Daphnia pulex: one gene and its partner. The protein of the gene in region 1 interacts with the protein of each later gene in a biochemical or structural test. Links are inferred from orthologs where the notes say so. Each region holds a gene or a part of one and is shown in the gene's direction. Other genes may lie near its edges.

Region 1 (4,629 bases):
TAGTGCTGCTGATGATCCTGGTGTTCAGTTGCGTCAGGAAGATCCTCATATTCTACATGCCTTGTCTCACAGCACGGTATACGAATTGCCCGTCGGTGATAAAATGAAAGTTATCAAATGCCTTTGTCATCAAATACTCACATATGCATCAATAAGAGACATACTCGAAGAAAAGAGTACTAAATTAATCCATTTACGTCAAGAACTGAAAGCTCTGCATGCCAATGAGAGACGTATGAGAAAAGAAGATATCATTAATCGAGCCAAATTACGCTCTGAAGAGAACGGTAACACCGAAGATGGAACAGAGTTAGAAAGGTTGCTACAAGAAACTGCCAAAAGAAAAGGGGAGGTTCTCAAGAAGGAGCAGCAACTTCGCCAACAAATTCTCAGGATGACAGCCATGACTCATTTGGCACCTCTTGGACAAGATCGTGCTTTCAGGTATTTAGTGCATTGGTGTGGAATGAGACTAATCAAATCAAAAAACTAAATATTCATTTCTTTTTTAGGAGGTTTTGGGTTTTTGAATCACTTCCCGGGTTGTTTGTGGAACATGATGATGACTACGTTGGGACTTGTTTACCCGAACCCACGCCCTATTCCATGCCAAAACCAAACGGATTGCCGATTGATCCCAGCAAATGCAAAGAAGACATTAGGAAATTTTTTAAAGCAGCGAATAAAGAAAATGATATCTCAACCGAACCTGTCTGCGAAAAGTGAGTATTGCATTTCATTTTACATTTTATATTATTACGTATAATCATTTTAACAGTTCTTTGAAAATTAGGCCCAAAATTTTTGGTGTTTGCACTTCTAATCCGACGAACTGCCCTGTCCACGCCACCTACCTTTCACGAACAAAATGGTCATTCTATGAAAATGTCGATTTCGTTGATCAAATCCTACTGAGCCTTAATGAACGAGGGCAACGTGAAAGTGTATTGAAGAATGCAATGGTTCGAGAAAAGGAAAGAATCGTAGAAGGAATCACAAAGTGCTTTGTCCACCGTTTGGATAATTCAAGGCCTGAAGTTAAACTCGAAGGTGAAACTCGCAAATCCACCAGACAAATACGAAAGGAGAAAGAATACGATATCAACCTTTACTTTCCTGCCGGTACTCCCGTCGAGGAGATCATGGAGCGAACACTAGTTGATATGGTTCTTGAGACTGAAGAGAAAATTTTTGTTGGCGGCTTGGGATCCTTGAAGGTACAGTAGATTAAATGATTAATTTACATCAATAACATCTTTGTGTGTTTAAAAACAAATCCAATTTCATCTACATATAAATATTTTACTAGGTCAAAGACCGAAACGCATGGAGAACGTCTTTAGAAGAAAGGAAGTTTGTTTCGCAGGTTGAAACTCTAACTTGGGGTGGAAAACTGGAAACGAAGACACACCCAAAGCTTGAACACAATGATGCCGAGGATGAAGATAACCGCTCCGAAACAAGCTCTTCGGTGGAAGCAGAAACCACTGCTAATGCCGTTGCCAGAAAGTGCGTTGTGGATCTAGCATGTTCCTTACTTCAGTTAGCTCAAAGTGTCGAAACCAAGTATCTGAAGAAACCTCTAGGTAAGTCAGTATTTTATTAGCTGGATTTGGTTTGATTGAGATTTACTTAGTAGTCGAAGTGATTAATTTAAAAATTATTTTCAGGAGAAGATGAGAAAGAAAGAAAAAAACGACTAAAAGCCGAAGAAGCGATGAAAAAATGGGAAGACCACAAGGAGCCGGATCACAAGACGGATGCCAAAAGTAAGATAACGTCTTATGACATGTCATAACAAAAATAGCTGATTTTAATACTATTTCTAGCGGAACCGAAAACAGTACGAACGCCGTTAGAAAAATGGGAGTTGTCTCTACATGCATGCACGAGTTTGTCACAGTTGTACGTTCACTTAGCGCTATTAGGTGAGTTAGATATATATTTACGTATTTATGTGCAATATATATTCTACTAAATGCTTTGAATATTTAAAGATAACAGTATTACATGGAATCGCTCAGCGTTGAATGCTCGATGCCGTATTTGTCGTCGTAAAGGAGATCCGGAAAAGATGTTGCTCTGCGATGGATGTGATAAAGGACACCACATGTATTGCTTGAAACCTTTGCTCACCGTTGTACCAGAAGGAGATTGGTAAATTTAATAAGCGTTAACATGTTCGTTGAACTCATTTCAAATAACCTTATTATTATTCAAGGTTCTGTGCCGAGTGCAAACCCCGTGAAAAGCCTCGAACGCCTCGTAAAGCACGTCGCGTCTTTTCTGAAGAATCCGAGGACGAGGCTGTTGAAGAAGAAGAAGCGGATGCTGGCGAAGAGGAAGCCGAAGTTGAAGCGGAGGAGGGTGAAAGTGATGTAGAATCAGTAGATAATGAAATCTGCCCAGTTTGCCAAGAAGGTGGAGAGGTTATTTGCTGTGACACATGCCCAGCCGTCTATCACTTAGAATGCATCAACCCGCCTCTGAGAAAGGTCCCAAGAGGCAAATGGTCTTGTCCGCAGTGCAAGACACCTCCCCAGGATAGAGAAAGAGGCAAACTACGAGAAAAAAGTAGAAACTATTTCATGTGCTCTTCAATGTTAAGCTGTTACTATAATTTTTCTCTGTTGATCAGATTCTGACGGTCGGACCGGTTCTGCCCGAATCTCACGAACCCGTCATGCGATCGATTTTGATGAAGAAGTGAAGGATATGGGGAGGCATGCTGGTGCGCGTAAGCGTACGCAAACCGAGCCTGTACGATCCAAGTCACCCGCTGACTTGGCCCTAGGCAAACGCCGTTCGGCAGCAGAAGCTGTTGACAAAATTGCTCAATCCTCCAAGCGACTCAGAGGGGACAGCAACGATGGTAAGAGATTTCTTTACCGCAAGTAAACGCCTATTTAAATCAAATAACGAACACTACTACCGCGTTTCACGCTTCCTCCTACCGTGCACAACGACTACTTTTACTTCATCTTACCTTGCACAACGACTACTTTTTCTTTATATCAGTTCCCCCCCACTACCCCAGGTTGTTCCGCTCATCATCTTAACCTCTCGGCCTTGACTTTGACACTGCCTTGTGACGTACTTTTTTGTTTCATTTTTTGGAAGATGTCAGTTGTGAAGCCTCGCCGCTTCCTGCTATTTTTCGTAATAAAAGGATCAACCACTTTTACCTGACTGATTTATTTTTTCCTTCGTACAAAAACAATGGACTTGCGATGTCATTATAGGTTTCCCTTGACGACAAAGTAAACTTAGGTGTCTGTTCACGTCTAGTTAAAAACTGCTCGAAATGAAATTTAGTTCGGAACCCAGCTTTAATTTCAAGTAGATTCAATCTAATCAAGACACTAGATTTGCCGCACAAATTTCCTTATTCATAGCTTATTACCAAATCCCATCCTACAAATATTGTTACGACTGAATGTTTTGACGCCTGGTTACAAATCTTAAATTGTTCATTTCTATTTAGACGAAAGCGGTAATAGTGACAACAACAGCAAGTGGAATGCAGCAGCACATCGGAAAAGGAGTCGTCCATTGCCATTGCCTTCCGCAACTTCTCCTTCCGGGTTTGTTGACTTGGCTGATTTACTACAGCTATTGGCCGATTTGAGCAGTCATGTCGATAGTTGGCCTTTCCTCAAACCCGTCACCAGAGCAGAGGTAAAATATTGATAAGATTTATAGCCGTTTTATAGTTCACGCCAAGAGTTTGCCCTATCGTATTTCTCGTAACGTGACTTTTTCTGAGATCATTGTGACTGTAACTTGAAACAAATGAAACCGTTTCAAAGAATTCATAATTACGTATCATTTTCCCTATTCGTTAATTTGAAAATATTCCAGTAATTTGATTTGTGTGTAATTTTTCTCAGGCTCCGGACTATCATCATGTTATTAAACAAGCTATGGATCTTGGTACAATGAAGTACAAACTCAACAGTATAAAGTACAAGACGGCGGAAGATTTCGTCAAGGATTTGCAGTTGATATTCACGAACTGCTATACTTACAATAACGACGCTGCCGATGAATACAAGTAAGTTAATATTTCTTTTGATCAGCAGTTTTTAAATTGTTGGCTTTTACAAATGTGTTTGTCTGTACCAGATGTGGTCGCAACCTGAGTCGATACGCTGAGAAGCAGTTAGAAAAACTAGGTATCAAGATGATGCCAACGGATTAACATTTGAACCAATTTTCCTACAAATCCAACTCTCCCTACCACCCCCTAAAAAGTCATTCATTCGACAACCCCGATGGAAATATTGGATAAAACCGTGTCTCTTTTATGTTAAAATTCTGGCGACCGTCAATGGGTTGTCGATTGCGTTTCCAATTAAAACAGTAAGAAGTTCGGAAATTTGAATAACAGTGAAATACACTTGAAATCGATTAGCTATATGTAACAATGCTAAATGAGATTCATTTAAGTTTAATCAACAGCCCAATGGTTCCATTTACTGACATTTAAAAAAGAAAATATTTTTATTTTTTTTAAATAAAAGAATTGTTTGGAAATTTCATATAAGCCTTGTCAAGGCCGTGAAAGTTTAAACATTTTAGCCTCTAGACATTTTTCATTCCTTCCTTGAAAATGAACAACTGCGCGAG
Region 2 (2,369 bases), on another chromosome or scaffold:
AGGCGAAGACTATCGGTAATACCACATCTAGCTTTGTAATCATGGAACATGCTTACATTGAAACTTTTTTGTTACATAGAGAGAAACAAAAGTCGATTGTTGGTGCCTGGATTGAACCGCCTAAACGTGAGCGCAAGGCCAACTATGCCGTAGATGCATATTTTAGGGAAGCTCTTCGAGTTACAGAACCCAAAGCTCCCAAGGTAAGGCCCTAATATTTGTTGCATCCGTTCCATCTGAATCACTTCTTTGATTTACTTAGGCACCTCGACCACCTAAACAACCCATCGTGCAAGACTTCCAGTTTTTCCCGCCACGGCTATTTGAGTTGCTTGATCAAGAGATTTATCATTACCGTAAAACGGTCGGCTACAAGGTTCCGCGTAACCCTGAGCTGGGAGCTGAAGCTGCCAAAGTCCAACGAGAGGAACAAAGGAAAATTGATGAAGCCGAGCAACTAACGGACGAGGAGCAGGCGGAGAAGGAAAGTCTTTTAACTCAGGGTTTTATATCGTGGACGAAGCGGGACTTCAACCAGTTTATTAAAGCAAATGAGAAATATGGCCGAGATGATGTTGAATATATGACAAAAGAAGTTGAAGGTGTGTATTTAAGAAAGCTTAAGAGTTAAAACACTTACTTAACACTTTTCAATTTGGATTATCAGGTAAAACCCCAGAAGAAGTGATGGAATACAGTGCAATTTTCTGGGAGCGATGCCATGAGCTGCAGGACATTGATCGAATCATGGCTCAAATTGAGCGAGGCGAAGCCAAAATCCAACGCCGGACGTCGATCAAGAAAGCTCTCGATACTAAGGTAAACTAATCTGTGAGAAGTATAAAAATGTTGCGAATACTGATTTTTAATTTCTTCCAGATGTCAAAGTATCGAGCACCCTTCCATCAGTTGCGCATTGCTTACGGAACCAATAAAGGCAAAAATTACACTGAAGAAGAAGATCGCTTTTTGGTTTGTATGCTGCACCGTCTAGGGTTTGACAAAGAGAACGTGTACGAAGAGCTGCGAGCCGCTGTTAGGTATGATTAGACGTTTTGCTATAAATTAAATAAATTAGTCACCTTCAACTTTCTTTCTCTTTGCCCACAGATCTGCTCCACAGTTCCGCTTCGATTGGTTCCTTAAATCGCGCACAGCTATGGAGTTGCAGAGGCGATGCAATACTCTAATTACCTTAATAGAAAGAGAAGTTCAAGAGTGGGAGGAAAAGGAGAAGGTAGACAAGAAGAAGCGTGGTCCGAAGACCAGCATTGGATCTAAAGTTGAAGCAACTCCGAAATTAGAGGACGATGGAGCCAAAAGTGAAGCAACGCCTACGAAGGGCTCCAAACGCAAGAGCGAATCAGCGGTTGGTACACCGGAAACAAAAGGACGAGGAAAGAAAAAGAGAACTTGAAGTGTCAATCTCGCTAATAAAATCGTAAAACAAATTTCTGACCGACGGAACGAACATTATTAAAATGATTCTTAAAATGAGCCATTCCTGCTCCCTTTCTTTTAAAATTTCTCATGGTATTTACCAATTCGATTAATGTACGATTTCGTGACCCAATACACCTTAAATCTGAAATTCGTTTGTGATGTAAATCAATCAGTGAAGGATTCCAATTCCGTGGGAAGATTTGTTCATATTAAGAGACAAATAAATATTGATGAATAACTGTATATTTCAAACGTTAAAATTGACTAAAGCGTGGGAAATGCGTATGGTCTCAACGAACATAAAATAAGTGGCTCTGTCGGACAGCGCCATATCCGCCGGTGCGGGGATTCTGGGAGGCTTCAGAAAACGAAGTTAAAAATCTAAGAATGTGTAATAAGAACAACGAAAGGAGGATAGAAATTACAGTTTTTGAGAATTATCTAGTTGCAACTGGTTATAACCAGGTAATAACAAATAAAATGGTAATAATAAAAAAAAAATGAACGCGCGCTCAAGCGATATTTTCGAATTCGTTTGGCAACGTGCTCCGCAATCCGCTTTCCATGAATTAGGGTTTGACCGACGGCGTGGTTTCGGCCTTTGGGGGGGACCGAGTGTATAAATAGTCTTGCATCCTCTCTTCACAGCCCTGATAAAGTATCTGTTGGAGCAGAGAATGACGTCGCAAAATGAGGTGAGCTTTCTTTTGTCTACTAACTGTTAATTTTAATATTCCGTGTGTAACTCAAGTATTTAAAGATTATATTGATAGCATTCAATTCTGTAGAATATGTTGGTATACTTATAGTCTCTAAAAAGCTTTTATGTATCAGTAGTTTTGTCATGAATAACTTCATATTCCTTTTCGCGTGGGCTGTCCCACGTGGCACTTAAGATGCTTGAGCGAATTTTAAGACTAAGGAAG

The links.
Region 2: the proteins of bromodomain adjacent to zinc finger domain protein 1A-like (region 1) and chromatin-remodeling complex ATPase chain Iswi-like form a complex in vitro, tested with the Drosophila melanogaster proteins (3 studies listed by BioGRID). The link is inferred for Daphnia pulex from reciprocal best matches to the Drosophila melanogaster genes Acf and Iswi.

What each region holds. Positions count from the first base shown.
Region 1 is NC_060028.1:6,186,012-6,190,640, reverse strand, and holds the end of bromodomain adjacent to zinc finger domain protein 1A-like, read left to right. Parts: coding exon 1-444; intron 445-512; coding exon 513-722; intron 723-778; coding exon 779-1,217; intron 1,218-1,309; coding exon 1,310-1,586; intron 1,587-1,670; coding exon 1,671-1,769; intron 1,770-1,829; coding exon 1,830-1,928; intron 1,929-1,997; coding exon 1,998-2,157; intron 2,158-2,221; coding exon 2,222-2,574; intron 2,575-2,638; coding exon 2,639-2,872; intron 2,873-3,484; coding exon 3,485-3,678; intron 3,679-3,890; coding exon 3,891-4,054; intron 4,055-4,125; coding exon 4,126-4,201; 3' UTR 4,202-4,454; downstream 4,455-4,629.
Region 2 is NC_060024.1:13,563,771-13,566,139, forward strand, and holds the end of chromatin-remodeling complex ATPase chain Iswi-like, read left to right. Parts: coding exon 1-15; intron 16-79; coding exon 80-203; intron 204-262; coding exon 263-602; intron 603-667; coding exon 668-819; intron 820-879; coding exon 880-1,040; intron 1,041-1,110; coding exon 1,111-1,417; 3' UTR 1,418-1,591; downstream 1,592-2,369.